Linked DNA regions of Lepisosteus oculatus. The protein of the gene in region 1 binds, or shares a complex with, the protein of each later gene. Links are inferred from orthologs where the notes say so. Each region holds a gene or a part of one and is shown on either strand. Other genes may lie near its edges.

Region 1 (7,850 bases):
CTCTTCAGCGATCAGCAGCTCTGTCTGACTGTCGTCCTCATCTGGGGTGGACGGGTGAGGGCTGCTGCCTACAGAAGGAAAAACCAGAACCGCCATTTCTGTTTCAGAGCACCAGTTTCCAGTCTTTGAGATGCAAGCAGTCCTTTCCATGTTGTCGGCGTTAGTGTGTTGCGCAGGCACACAGCTGGAGTGAAGGTTAATTTATTCTTTAAGGCTCCTGAACTTTGTAGTTCATCTGCTCATATATTTTTTCCATACCCCGTCTGGCCAGTTACCCAAAACAAACACTTTGTGCCGCAGATGTCAGCTTTAGATGGACAGAACATGCATGGCTCCCAGTAACTGTAAGGATATCCCAGTAAGGATATTTTAAGAACTCATTTATTGATTTGTGTACCTTACCACATGTCTGCTTTATGATGTCTGATATGATATTGTAGATATTTACAAGGATGATTTTTAATTAGTTCTGATTTTTCTTCAATCTGTTCTCTTCAAACCTTGCCACAGATCCACAGTTCAAAGACACTGTAAATGCCTGTACCTGCACTGAGATCCCCTCCTGAGCGCCCAGCATCAGTCTGCAGCAGCATGCTCTTCGGGGGCATCTTCGTGGTGAAAGCAGTTTGGATGTTGTCAACAAAGGTTTTACAATGTGGACTGTCTACCCAGATCCGTTCTCCCAAAGAATCTTCAATATACACCTAAAGAAGGAAAAAATGTACAGTGTAAAAAAAATCATGAGATCTTAAAAAAAAAAAACTTGACTTCAAAAATGATCTGACATGTACAATGGACAACATTTTTCTTTTTTTCCCCTCAAATGTGACAATAAATACTCATATCACGCAAAGTGAAGAAAACAGCAGCTGGCCCTCACTTTCACAAATATTTCAGGCCAGTTTTCATCCTCCTCATAGGCAGCCATTAGCAGATTACAGGCCAGCACCGAGACAAGGCTGTTCCCCTTGGCCTTGAAATTGATGGAGGCATCACGGCGCAGCAAGCTGCACAGAGCCTGTCAAAAGACAAGACAAGTTGCTGGTGACAGGGAGGAAAGCTGAAGGCAGGCAACGCGGGAGCTGCAATAATAAATTACATTTCTTTTCCCACATCCCCCCCAAAAAAATCACTGGAATGCCGCCAACCTCGATGACTCCTTCGGTGGCAAAGACATTGGGCTTGATCTTGGCGAGGAACATGAGGCTGAGGTAAAGAGTGATGTCGGGTTTTGCGCGGTTGATTTTCAGCTGTTTCACTGCACCGCAGAGGATGCCCTCAATGCGATCATCGTTCCCCTCGGCCTCTGCGGCCTCGATCTCATCAAGCAGCACAGCAGGTGGGACTGCAGGGGCACCAGACGAGAGTTAGCAGGGAAGACGAAACCCTTCTTAAAACGACTGTGCAGAAAATTCAGATTTCAGTGGAAAATGCTGACAAAAGAAACATACAGTGGTAACACAAAAAGAAGCACGTTACTTTTCCGATACGATAATGCATCCGTGTTTCTAGATGTAAACTAAATCAAAGCTACTGATTTATTTCCTTGAGTGTTATTGTTCTTAGATTGACATTGACTGATATCATTTCTCACCTTCAATAGGCACAACGGAAGGCTCCTTGATGGAAGGTGATATAGCCCTCTTGTCCACAGAGGCCACGTCCGCCAGGCGCCCCAGAGCACTGAGGGGAGGGGTGGAAGAAAGCTTGGGGCGCTTGGTGAGACCCGAAAGGCCTGAGGCAGAGGGCAGAGTGGACGCGGCCTCCCTCTTGCGATCGGAAGGCAAGCTGGTGGAAGCCGGCTTCAGTAACACGGCCGGCGCCTTGGGTTCACTCGCCTGACTCTTTGAGCCCAAAGCAATAAAATCTCCGGGTGGAGGGTGACCTAGGAGAGCAATACAGACTTCACAGGACCTATGCAATTCAATTTGAATGACAGCACTAACAAAACTCAATCGCCAACGCGCACAAGTTCAAAGACGTCACGTAGAGATGAGGTGGGGAGCTGCGTCAACATGCGTAGGCCGCAAAGGAACAAGTAATAGGTTTATTCCCTGCTGAAAAGAGAAAAAAACACAACGTTTCACACCTGAAGAAGGCTCCACAGCCAAAACGTTGTGTTCTCTTTCTTCTCTTTTCAGCATGGAATAAACCTATTACTTGTTCCTGTGTAGAGATTTGTACAGAAAGAAAATTATTCTTCAAAACATCAGAAACATCTCAGTGAACTGAAGACTGGGGGATTTTGAACTTTTTGAATAGTTTCATTAACTAATACCTGCTATCACATTTCAAGCATGTGAAGGATTATGATTTACCTGAAGGTTTGGCTGCACTGCTGGGCCGCCTGATTGTAGCAGGCTTTGGTCGATTCATTCTGCTGGAAATGTCAATGTCTCACATCAGATGTAGAAATTCTGGCCCGATAAGGGGAGAAATAAATGGTCATGAAAACAAGCCCAAAACGTCATTCTTAAGCAGGCAAAACCATAAAAACAGACCAACTAAAGCTAATAACATGTTTCACAAATACTTAAGTAGCATAGTCCACTTTAAAAACAAATATTTTGATTTAGTCATTTTATTACAGTAAACTCATATCATTGTGCAAAAAGGCGATGGATATGTCTGCCCCAGATTAAGAGTTTCACAGACCCACACGATATTAAACGTTTTTTTTTCTACTCTGAAAATTATACATACTGTACGCACATACGCTGCAAATAGATGATCTCGTACACATAATGCAGTAGGTTAGTAACAAATGCGTCACTTAATGGTTAACTCTGAGCAAAGTTAACATTTACACATGAAATACCTCCTAAGGGGCACACGACCGGGTACGCATCACTCATTCCCGTCGCACGACAGGTTATCAGACCAATGCACAACACTTTAAACCAATGCGCTATCTTCTACTCATCACAAATAGAGAAGCGACTACGGAAGGGGCAGGGAGAATCACCTTTATATTTGAGATTTATCTGATTCCCATGGCCATTGTTTACCTCCGGAACTGAAACCTTGAGAAGACGGTGCAGCAGCCGTTCAGCACGGCCGAACCCAAGGGAACCGGAAACGGAAACCTCCCCCCGGAGAGGAGCGGAACTGAACTGCAACGACTGCGGGGTCACCCGGAACGAAAATAAAGCAGAGCGGGCAGTTTAAAACGTGTTTGCATCTGTTCCCTGTCCAAAATCATTAACACAGGCCACGTTCAGAGGTGGAGTTTCTCTTTTATGATTAGAAATAGTCAGGTATTAAATTATTAGGTTTTTATAAAACCGAAAAAGATAACCGTATAGTAATTAAATTAAAACAAAATTCAGCTTAATCTTTTTTTGACAATGCATTTTTTGGAACTGCATTGTAATAAGTCCTTCAGGCCTAACATTTTATGAAATATTTTTTTAAGAATTAATAGACTCGGATTTTAACATTCTTATCAGTAAGTTTTGTTTCCGTTTCAGTAGTGGCAAGTGCCTAAGCTGAATCCATACGTATTCTGCCACTAGAACGTTTGGGTTTTTAACTTTTTTCTCCTTTTAGCAAAAGAAACAAATACAAAACGGTTGGCAAACTATGGATTTTATTTTGTAAAGATCCAATAAATGTACATAAGCTTTAGCATTACTTAAACCGCTCAAATCAATGTTTAACAAAGCAAACCTTTATTTAAATATAAATACAAAAGTTCTCATTCATCTGCATTGATTCAAGAAAAGAATCAAGGGGAAGAACTGTGATTTTTACAGCAGATAAAGATATTTGCAGGCCACTGTGCAGCATGAAGGGTTAATATAAGGCTCATCCCTAATAAAGGTACTCCTAACACTTAGCTGAGCAAAGTTCTTCAACGAACCTTCATTTCACTGATGCTGTAAATTCAGATCAGTTATCTTTTCACAGGATGGTGCTCATCATGCTAGATGGAGATATTTTAACCCGTCCATCCAACTGCTTTCCTAATCCAGGGTTGCAGGGGAGCCACAGCCTATCCTGGCAGGCTACGGGTGCAAGGCAGTCTCATACTTGACCACGAGAGGAGCCTGGAGCACCCACACCAGCACGTGGAGAACATGCAAACTCCACGCAGACAGAACCCCAGGTCTGGAACTGAACCCGGGGCCCCGGCGCTGCGCCACCATGCAGCCCCAGACATTTTATAAAACTCAAAAAAGAAGAAACAAATTCCACCACAGAATTATTAAATGACTATCAGGACATGCTGCATTAACCAAACATTTGCTGCAGTGTAATATTATTTATCCATCTACATCTCTCAAAACAACTTTCATCCAAGATTGTACAGGAGCACAAAAGAAGAGTTATTTGACAACAGGGAAAAGGGTTACATTGGTAATTATTTGCTTTGACACTAAAAGTTCCCCACACTGCATAAAGCTTTTTAGTTGTATTTCATATCTATGCTCATTGGCCCATTAAAACGAATTAAGAATGACAATTTATTTGCAATACATTTATTTTAGACTTTTACATATAAAAATAAAATGGCTTTTTCTTAGCATTGTCTTGCCGGATTGATTCAAAGAAATCTGGAAGTTATTGAAACCACATAATCAAGCAGTTGTGCTCTTCATACATCGTCTTTAAATAAACAACATTTTATTAATAAATCATATTAGACTCATTTTGGGAACACTTTAAATCTTGCACAATTAAAATATATTGCAAAAATTGAGACTGAAATGGCGCTATTAAATGCAATTTCTTAGTTTGCATCTAGAAATCAACAATACCTAGATATATAATCTGATTTAGATTAGCTTTAACACTTGGATGACTTCAAGGCACTATGCAGTTACCATAATCTAAGGTCTAATGTACAGAAAATATAGCTCCTGTGATCTCTGGTACCATTTTTGTTTTCAAACTCTAACAGCAATCCTCTCCGAATTAAAGAAAAGGCTTACTCAAGCAACACTCAAGGTCCTGAAAATACTGACCATTTTTACATTCAATTGAAAATGAATTGTTAAACCATCAGACGGGTGTTTTAGTGCAATTAAAAATTCTCCGAAAAGAAAGTGAATGTCAAAATAGGAACCTAAATGGTGCTATTGAATGGAAAACGTAACACTTGAAATCATTTTAATCAATGTATCTATTTTTACCACATAAACAGACCTGCTGCCCTATGATACCATGTGCTATCCCCTGAGACTCTAAGGATAGAATTTCTATTAAAATATTCCCACTGCTAAATACTAGTGCTTACGGTTTCATTTTCTGTATGATAAGATACATTTGCTAAGTAAACAATCCTTACACTTGTCAGCCTTTTTAAAATAAAAAGCCATAATCAGAAAAAAATCACAAAAAGTAGCAGCAAAAGATCCAGTGTCATGAACAGACGAGAGCAGACATCCCTCGTGGGTCTTAATGGTTTAGATCCAGCTGATTGTAAACTCTTGGCCCAGATTGAGAACCAGGTTACTCACGGTTAAAACCTGTAAAACAGATAGGAAGAATAACAATCAAATACACTTTCATGTTCAGATCATCAATAAAAAGCCGTTATTTCTCTGTACAGTTCTTATAACACAAAAGGGAAGATAATTATTTCAGGAGTATCTATAAAAGAATTTTGTACCTAGAAATGTGTCCAGCTACACTGTAATAATGAAGTTATTCCAGAAAAAAAACACTCTGAGGAAAAAAGTGCACTAAAGATGAACCTGCATTGATAAAAACAGGCATACTGTAAGCAAAAAGACTCATTGATTTGCAAGAGTAAGAATAGTTCAAGATAATATTTTGCACCTGGTTGGTTTTGTAGGTGAATGGAGTTTCTTTTGAATTCACAGTAACATTTGATGGCATCTGTTTGACTCCAAAGAACGACACCGTTTCCACTGTAATGTAGGTCGCCTCTATATTCTCATGAAGCACTTTGGAAGTGAACATATTCTAGGAAGACAAAGACGAAAACCTTTGAATAACAAAGATTATTTCAACTCAATAAAACAAAAGGGCAGAGCTTTAGCCTCTACAATACAAAACATTTTTCATTTTACTTGAAGAAATAGGATTTCCAGAAGACATGCCAAGTTTGTGTTAAGAATGATGCAAGTTCTGGAAATATATAGCAGTGAGTAAGCCAGGAATAAAAGAAAATCGCTTTGCCAGACAAGAAAACCACAAAGCACACATGGAAAAATTATGCAAATATACAGCTTTTGCAGTGAGTAAGACATGGACTTAAGTAATTAGTCATAATGAACTCCTCTTCTGGTCAGAGAAACAATACTTTTCTCTGTGCATGTACAAATCCATCAGAATACTGACATTATGTCTTTCGTAGCTGCTTTCAAGCAGAGAGTGCTTTTAAATGTTTAATAGCATGTATTTGAAATTGTATTTCTGAAACCCCAAACTTCTGGACAGCAAAGATGCTTTGACAGACCTAAAGAATGTGCATCTTGATGAAAGTTAAATGCCTACAGTGTATTTTCAGAACAAGAGAAGACAAACCAAGACCAAGCCTTTTTTTGGTTGGTTTTGCCAAACCAAAGTAGTTACACAATGCGTTTTTTTTTATGAAATATATATTTCTATGAGATCAGGAAAGTGCCTAACCAGTGTCCCAAATATAAGCAACAAACCACAATTGAAAGGTCTGCATTTTCTTCACAAACAGCTTTTTACCCAGAAGCCATTCAAAGGTAATGCTGAATAGAATGTCTTGGCAGAAAAAGCCCAAGGTATCATATATCATATCGCTTGCTGAAATACGTTTTCACTCCAGGTCTGTCCTTTGGATTCAAAAAGACATTTCACTGCCTTAACTGTGATCATACAATTAGCTACAATTAAAGAAACTGGAAAGTAAGTCTCCGTTTCTGCTGGGATCCAGGTTCGTTAGTTATACAATAGATGACTCCTGAACGGCATTTTAAATTAAAGCCTTTCATTTAGAGCTACAATTCTCTGTCCTGCAAGTTAGAAATTTGTGAAAGGATATTTAATTCTATTTAATAGCACATTACAAATCTAACTGTTTAAAAGTCTATGGTATTGTTAACTGAAATATAACTAATTCTCATCCCATCGATGAAAACAAATCTAGCTCAGAAATTACAAATTAATTACATGTTAAATGTAGATAACCTACACTGTTTCTTTCAAATTATGGGATGGTACTAATTCCTCTGCTTGTAAAAGACTGGAGCTGAAGAGGCACTAGGGGATTTGGGATTGTAAATAATCCAATGGGTTATACTGATCAGCAGAGAAAAAGGGGTTTTATTACTTCAAGGAAAATGGAGAAAGCTTAATGAAGCCAATTGCAGCAGACGCATGTATCATGTCTCCTGAGCACACTTAACGTTTCTCTACTCTTTTCTCTCATGCTAAGGTAACACTCAAGGATGTTTGGGGTTCCACAAAACAATCAGTGCTTCACTTTTTAAAAGCAACTGAAAAGTTCAGTCACAGAAAGTCATCCACTATTCTCATTCTCGGTTGAGCTGTACTAATTGAACTGGGTCTTAGGGACTCACTTGCGCTGAGAAAAGTGAATTGAGGACTGCTGTGGTGTCCGTTAATCACAGTAAATTAAAAGGAATGTGTATTTCCCATCCCTGTAATTTGCACTGTATACATGAAACTGATTAATACTGAATATTCTGATGCATATGAAAAACTCATTGTATATACATACAAATGTTCACCTCTGCAAAATATACAAAAAAATTTCCATAAGGTCAAATTGCTTTACTCTGACTCTACAACAATGTCATTGTGCCACTTTTAGGATTTTAAACTTCAGCCTGTACATGAATGCAAAATAAGCAACAGTGTAAAAGGCCTGCTGAGAGAACCTGTCA
Region 2 (7,707 bases), on another chromosome or scaffold:
GCTGCAATTCTGAATTAGAGTTATCAGTGCTGAGACTCTAGCGTAAATTCTGCCCAGATATAAGAAATATCTGCTGTCAAAAATATTCCCCAAAGATCACAAAGGTACTTTTGCTACCAGACTGAGGTCCTTCCAACTTGTTACCAACCCATTAGAACTTCAGGTGAGAAGCTCCACCTTTGCAACGTCTTTTTCTGTTGTGTCAATTTTTTCATATCTTAACCAGGTTCCAGACGTAACACTGGAGCAAGACATGTTTTTTTTGGGGGGTAGAAAAGTCATTGCTCAGTTCTGTGAGCCTCACCCTTTTCCTGCCTTGCAAAAGCTACCGATTTCAGGCTGCACTGGTGCCCTTTGAAGGTGCCCAGGAGGTCTTCTGTCTTCACATCCCACAGCTTTGCTGTCTGGTCCCCAGATGCTGTAACCTGTGGGGTAACAAGGGAATCCATTACTGGAGAACAGCAGGTGTATGAATCCTGAGTCACTGGACAGACATGTCCATCTCTAGAGGGTGATAAACCAGTAAAGGAGATATGATACTCCTTACAGAGAAAACATTTGCAGAAACTCCCATTACATTGTAGAGTTTTCTAAAACTCCAGACTGGAAAAAGGATCAATATTTATTAATAGCAAAATCCTGTACAGAGTTTTGAGATTACACTTGAATTCCAAGTAATTTAGTTTTCCTATAGGATAACAGACAGAGACAACAGAGGATCTACAACCACAAGACAGAATGTCTGAGCTCTGCTTGAACTGGTTAAAATATACCTAAATATCTAAAAAGATACTAGGTGTTTGCTTTAGTTAATTTAGAATTTTTGAGACACGGTTTCTTCACATGTAAGAAATCAATGGCACTCACAAGTCGCGGCTCTCCAGGAACCCAGGCAATATCAAAGACGGCATTCGTGTGAGCCAGCCAATCTAAAGAGAGGGGGGACAAAGAGCTAAGGTTCAAGTACATACTTTTCAGAAGACACCCACGTGTTCATTCCTGTGAAGGAATTGGTAAAAGTTTTTTACTTCCTTTACAAAATGAAATTATCATTCATCACTGCACAGATACAGATGTCTTTACTAAACACCTCCTGGTCTGGTGTTTTTCTTTTGTGTGGAAAAGTGACGAGTGCTCACATCTTAGGGGACACTATTCACATCAGGATCTTTTCAGGAAGTGAAGTGTGGCAATAAGGTATTGCAAGGTATTGGAACAGGGAGGACAATGGCTCCAACAGTCGTAGTTCATTCCACTTTAGGTCTGTTAGACGGAAACTTTATAAGCAAAGGCTTGTGCTGTATGACGATGTTATGACTGGGGGGAGGGGGGGGGAATCAAGCAAAGAAGCAGAGTTGATTCAGATAAATGGAGACCCTTTCAATCACTCTTTACCTTTCAAAAGTGGACGCCTGCGTGACTCTGTGTCGTACAGCCTGACGACACCTTCTTCGTTTGCCACAGCCAGGATCTGCTGCAGGCCTGGAGCTAGTGAACAGAGACCCACGTTACAGCGACAATTATCCTGAGAAAAGTTTTCTGTGTATAACACCAGAGGAACTAACTACGAGTAACAGAATCCATTTTCACGTCTTAAATCTGACACTAAGCAATTTTGTAAAAATTACTGCTAACTCACAATTTTCAGAAAAGAAATCTCACAAGCAGATGAACTCCAGTCAACACCAAATTAATTTTACAGAACAGTGTGCTGTTTGTCAACAGCCATTAACTTGCCGTGTCTTTCTAGACATAAAAGTCCTTTAATAAGACATGTAAACTGTTCAGCTGTATAAAAGATGATGTTCGTCTTAACTCATCCTTATTTAGTTGTAATTTGCTCTTTAAACGCCTCTGATAAAGACTAAACAAAGCTAAACACCTATACCTGACATCTATATAACAAGCTTTAACATAGTTGTGTTAAAAAGTAATTTCGGAATTTACAATACATAAAAAGTACATTTCACAATAAGGTCAAATCACAAAGCCAAAAAACGAAGGAGATAAAGAATATAAAACAGTGACAATGTTTTTCAGAAAAATAAGGTTTTAGACTAGAATTAAAAGCACTAAAATGTTGCTGCATTACTCATAGATGGTATTCCAGAGCATAGCGACAGAATGTGGTATCACCCCGAAAGTGTAGATGAACCACAGAAACACCAAAAAAGATCCAAGTCAAAAAGAGTGGAAAGGAGGAAAAGGGTATAGATACTGACTAGATACCAGAGGGTCGCACCATGTAGACTAATGAAGGTAAGAAGGATTTGGAAATTAACAGGAACAGGAATCCAAACACTCCAAAACAGGAGTGACGTGACAAGATCATTTGTAAGTGACCTAGTCGGGATTTAGCTTCCGAATTTTGAACCTACTGTAATTTAAGAGTAGCCTAGAGATTCCTGCACAAAGAAATGCAGAAACATCCTCCCCAACCCCCTCTAAAGAGCGGACACCTTAGGAGGTAACCTAGAACATTTCTAAGAAGGAAAAACAAGCACTGTGCATAAAGCAGTTATTTTTTATTTAAATTATTTTTCCTAATAATTATCCATTTGTTTTTCTCTTGAGTTTTGTTGGGTGCAAGGTCACATTAAAGACGCAAATATGTCTGACATAATTTTTCTTTGATTTCTGGCTTTACATCACAAAAACCTGTAATTTCAGTAAGGGTGTGTAGACTTTTTATATCTGCTACATGGGTTTCAAAATGAAGCAGGATCGAAGATAATCCCCAAATCCATTCTTCCAATTTAGAACTCAAACGAGGTGCCCTCAACAGGTAAAGCTACAGAGTGGGATTTAAAGAAAAAACCCAGTCACGTTACTGGATTTAATATCAAACCAAATAAGGAAATGAGCAAAAAGTGAGGATTTAAGATGAGGGCGATTTATTTCAATCCACATCATATTTAGCTTGTAACAGGCTAAAACACAAATAGACTTTTTGGCGATCCTCTACCTGTAGAAAACGTGCATCCGAAGGGAGGAACTGGAACCCCCATATCGCCATACGAGATGTGCTCATCTTGTCTAGCACACTGGTAACAATCTAACAGGGAGGAAAGCGGATACACACGCTCCGGCCCTGTAAGGGAAAACAGTGTTGAGAGTTCATTCATTCTTGTTAAATTAAGCCCGCGCGACCGCTCCCGTCCACATCTATTCATTTAAAAAACTCCGTCAGAGTGTAAGTTTCTACGATCTACTTCGTACGCGATTTTGCTTAAATCCTTTAAAATATAGTTTAACGTTAAATAGAACAGTTAAGAGTTTCATAAATAAATTCAATGAATCCTAAAAGTTTCATTGGTCTAAACGCCGTTTTACAGTGTGGCCTCTGTTTTAGAAATACTGATCGCATTGATAAAAGCTTCCGTGTCCACATCGCGATCACCAATATCATCAATATAATGGATTTTGGTATTGCTTTCTCGAAACCGATGAGTTAAGAAGCTGATTTTAGATGGTTTCACACAGAGAAAAACCGAAAATGAATCGTATTGAAGCGTGTTTCCCACCCAACCCCCTCATCTTTACATTTTAACACCCCACCGTAGAGGAAGAAAGAGCACCATTTTGAGCAGCAAAAGCGAATCCTTTTACTTTAGGAAAAATAAAATGAATGAAAAGCACTTTAAATATATTCATCCGCGTTGATCACCTCATAATTAGAAGATAATGGCATAAATAGACACAAAAGCTAATTTCAGAACGCCCCCCAAAAGAAACAAGTTAAACAAGAAATGGTCGATCTTTTTACTTTCTCTCTTTAAATAAGTCTTGATTCAAATACTATGCAAGGTATTTAAGAGGCAAAATGTGAAGATCTAACGCATTCCTCCCCCAGTTTTGAAGATTAATTGACTAGAGAGCCAGTACTCTATATTAAATCATCACCTAGCAGCTAATTTAACTTACCATTGTGCCTCCTTCTGAGAACTCCTCTATCAACAATGGAACGAAATAGCATCTTGCAATTTGTTATTGTGTTTAAAACTCAATTGCAAATTAAATGGATTTAAATTTCACAATGCAGCACCACTAGCTGTGTATCTCTTCCTAATGAAATACACAAGTACCCTTTCCCGCGAACTCAGAAATGAAAAAAGAATACGAAACACCCGCCTAAATGACGTTTCGCTACATGATTGGTCAAGAAAGCACAGAGTGGTCAGACTCCACCCACTCTGCGTAACAAAGCGAGTACCAGTCAGAGATACCTGGATCCAGATTAACTACTCAATAAAGTACAGATCCCAACCCTCTCCCATAACCTACAGAAAATATTACCTCCTCAAACAGGTACCAAAACTTCCCGGTCATCTAGCATTTTGAATATCCACTGATGTCACGTTATTGCGCCTTTCTTGCGGCCTAGTGGCGGCAGCACGTTTACGTCATGGGCGGGTAGTCGAGTGTTTATGTCACTTCCTGCCGCTTTGCACTGCTGGGATGTAGCAGTTTCTTTTGTGCCATGTATGCAGTATGATTGTGTTTTAATTGAAAAGTCCTTTTTAAAATCAGATTCTCAAACGTATATTGTAATAGAGAAAATTGTTGACTATATTTGACTTTCAGTCTAGGAATCATGTCTTTAACAACGGCGCGATCATTCTTGTCAGAAGCTGGTTACGGGGAGCAAGAATTAGATGCCAATTCTGCTCTGATGGAGCTGGACAAAGGTAGTTACACACACCTGAGTAAAACGCGTGCAATGCTTTGAGCTTCGAGCTGTTAAAAATGTAAGAGGTCGTTCATGGGTGCTGCTGTTCTGTAATAAAAATACTTTGTTTTGGTGGATTCATGTAAACACCAGCCTAGGCCGTTTTGGTTCTTCCGTTCCACTGTGACTCTGCTGCTCACAGTATAGATTAGGCAGTTAAACTAATTGTTGGATCAATGATTAATCATTTTACTGAGAGAGACGAATTTGTTCAGTCCTTATTATTCAGTGATTGCTGCGCTATATGGTGTAATCTAAATCGTAACATATACAGTATATTATGTATATACAGATAGTAGACAGAATATGCACAACCCAGTGGAATGAATGCACGAATGTGCCATGCAATTCTGCAGAAGGGATGCAGCACCATTCTTCCACGAGAAAGCCAATCAACTCTCACCTGGTTAATGGAAGTGGAAAACACTATCTCACCCCACGGTTCAGAATATCCCATAAATGCTTGGTAGAGTTTGGATCAGGTAACAGAGAAGGCCATGTGATGTGGAAAACAGCAGTGTCACCTTCATCAAAACACTGGGTGACCACGTGCGCTAAGGGCATTGACATCCTGGAAGACTCCCCTCCAGGCAGGGAAGAAATTCTGCAACACAGGGTGAAGGTGATCACTCAGTGCCATTAAGTAGTGGTTACATTAACCTTACCTTCTAAGGGAAGGAGTTCACCTAAACTGTGGCAGGAAAATGTACCCCTTAACATTACTGTACCCAGGGCTGTAGAGTTCTATAGGATGGTGCCAAAAATGGTGAAGAACGATTTATCTAAACAAATGACCTTTTTCTAGTACTTGATAGTCCATTTGCTGTGCTCTTTGCACCACTAGTCTTACAGGCGTGTGTTACAAGAGGTAATGAGTGATTTGCGCTGTGCAACCCGTCTAAATGATCCTGCTGTGTGGATTTCTCAGCATTTCTCTTGATTAAACTGGCTGCTTGTGCCCCAGGATGAAATTTGTAGTTCTGATTAATGCTTGGATATTACCATCCTGGAGTATACTGACCCATTGTTAGGACTGACCGAAGATGTCTTTTCTATTGGGTTCCATGCTGAAATCAGCTTAGACACTATGACTCTTGATCACTTAAGTTTCTGCTAAACACCCCTTCAAAGTCACTGATGTCTCCCCTTGAAGTTATAATAAAGGCCAACCAGGCCTGTCCAGCATTTCTATACATGACTCTAAGAACGCTGGGTTGTTAATTGCTTAATTAATGTAATGAATGAGTTCTGTTTTTCCTCCATTAGCTGTGTATTTCTGTATATGTCATTGAATCATATATACATACACTAAATCCTTTTTAGATCCTGCACCAATCCTTGTAAAGACTGCAAGATTGTTGTATCACCTGAATTCTTTCATCTTAAGTTATTTACTGTATGAAATCCTAAGTTGGAGTCTTCAGATGTGCAGCAGCACAGTTTTTTTACTAACCAGTATTGTAAAAATCGTTCCCCCCCTGAAGGGCTGCGGTCCGGCAAGCTTGGAGAACAGTGTGAAGCTGTGGTGCTCTTTCCCAAGCTGTTCCAGAAATACCCGTTCCCTATCCTGATCAACTCCGCCTTTCTGAAACTGGCAGACATCTTCAGACTGGGGTATGTGTTGAAATGAGCTCCCCTCCAAGCACAGCACTTCGTCTTTTACTGCTCTGCTTAACTGAGTTGCTTCTTAGGGTTTCTTGCTAAATTGAAAAAAAATCAAACAATTTTTGCATTTAGTGTGATTTTTCAGGCTGTTTTAGTTTTTGCATGCCTCAATGGAGAAGGTTTTATACAGTATGGCAGCATGAACTCACCATGTTCTGAAGCCATGCAAAACGTAACTGGTGATCAGTCACAGATAATTTGTTAAATTAAGTAGTATGAAGATTATTGGGAGCAAAACTCTTCAGTCCTGAAGGACAAGTGTTCCTTTAATTGGAAAAATTACTGGCCTAATTGAACAAAAAGTACAGGTGGTCCCAGACTTTAGAAATTAGTGATTTCGGAATACTCAGTGACTTCTGCATGGTAGTACAATGCTACTCTACGAAAGCTGAATTTGACATTACAAACAAAATCTAACAGCATCATTTCTGAATGTCACCTTCGTTCCCTTGAATTCCTAAGAGAAGGGGTCGTCTCTTTTGTTTCCTGTAAAATTTTGAAAGTGCAGTCAACAACAGGGCTCATCTGGCAGTCACAGTTTATTATTATATTACTTACATTCCAATGAGTCATTACATGTTTTTCAAAAATAAAAAGTAACTTGTGTTTTTTTAGCTGAATGAGAAATGTTATCATATTCCTTTCTGACTTGTTTTAAAATTCTGTAATGTTAAAACCCAATTGAATGTGATACTAGGGTGTATGTCACAAACATCTACTTTTTAACCATCTTAAAATAAGATGGACCCTTAGTTTTTGTGTTTTTATGAACAGTAGGCATTATCTCCCAATTGTTCTGTCTTTCTGTCACAGAAACAATTTTCTACGGCTCTGTGTGCTGAAGGTGACTCAACAGAGTGAGAAGCACCTGGAAAAAATCTTAAATGTTGATGAGTTTGTCAAGAGGATTTTCTCCGTCATTCACAGCAATGATCCAGTGGCCAGAGCCATCACTCTCAGGTACCGAGAATTGTAAACGATAATTAAGTAAGAATTATATAATTAAAGGGATCATCAAACATGGCCTTTTTCCAAAGAAAGATACCAGAGCAAGCCTGTGGATCAGTTACATGACACTCAGAGATCCCTCACTAAGGCATTTGTAACAAGAAATTGCTTAGAAAAGTATGGCAGATACTGAGTTCCTCATGGTGTGGCGCAGGGGGTTAATTTCCACATGGAGTTTCTATGCTCTCCCCGTGTTTGCGTGGTTTTCCTCCGGGTGCTCCGGTTTCCTTCCACAGTCCAAAGACATACTGGTAGGTTCATTTGGCTTCTGGGAAAACTGGCCGTGGTGCGAGTGTGTGCATGTC

The links.
Region 2: the proteins of ints1 (region 1) and ints7 are in contact, whole or in part, in a cryo-EM structure (PDB 8RC4), measured with the Homo sapiens proteins. The link is inferred for Lepisosteus oculatus from reciprocal best matches to the Homo sapiens genes INTS1 and INTS7. Residues at the interface, in NP_001073922.2 of Homo sapiens: Leu1378, Gln1381, Gln1382, Gly1385, Gln1386, Ala1389, His1429, Phe1430, Leu1431, Cys1433, Pro1434, Arg1437, Gln1438, Cys1440, Gln1441, Pro1476, Ala1479, Gln1480, Met1483, Leu1484, Gln1487, Arg1552, Pro1554, His1555, Leu1556, Glu1557, Glu1558, Pro1613, Ser1614, Gly1616; in NP_056249.1 of Homo sapiens: His150, Asp151, Leu187, Ala188, Thr189, Pro190, Val191, Lys194, Thr223, Ser224, Tyr225, Pro226, Ser227, Thr228, Asn262, Asp263, Pro264, Arg265, Lys266, Pro303, Tyr304, Gln349, Glu350, Cys352, Tyr353, His354, Asn355, Arg357, Ala360, Gln384.

Annotation. Positions count from the first base shown.
Region 1 is NC_090714.1:1,264,299-1,272,148, forward strand, and holds the start of ints1 (integrator complex subunit 1), read right to left. Parts: upstream 3,085-7,850; 5' UTR 2,966-3,084; intron 2,918-2,965; exon of another isoform or gene 2,819-2,917; intron 2,418-2,818; 5' UTR 2,377-2,417; coding exon 2,319-2,376; intron 1,886-2,318; coding exon 1,595-1,885; intron 1,346-1,594; coding exon 1,149-1,345; intron 1,019-1,148; coding exon 881-1,018; intron 705-880; coding exon 545-704; intron 69-544; coding exon 1-68. Other genes in the region: gaa2 (lysosomal alpha-glucosidase), read right to left, coding at 5,409-5,471, 5,785-5,931. UniProt on the Homo sapiens protein: Component of the integrator complex, a multiprotein complex that terminates RNA polymerase II (Pol II) transcription in the promoter-proximal region of genes.
Region 2 is NC_090697.1:46,094,334-46,102,040, forward strand, and holds the start of ints7 (integrator complex subunit 7), read left to right. Parts: upstream 1-4,445; 5' UTR 4,446-4,594; coding exon 4,595-4,688; intron 4,689-6,213; coding exon 6,214-6,343; intron 6,344-7,207; coding exon 7,208-7,354; intron 7,355-7,707. Other genes in the region: dtl (denticleless protein homolog), read right to left, coding at 305-425, 868-929, 1,396-1,488, 2,966-3,091, 3,925-3,976. UniProt on the Homo sapiens protein: Component of the integrator complex, a multiprotein complex that terminates RNA polymerase II (Pol II) transcription in the promoter-proximal region of genes.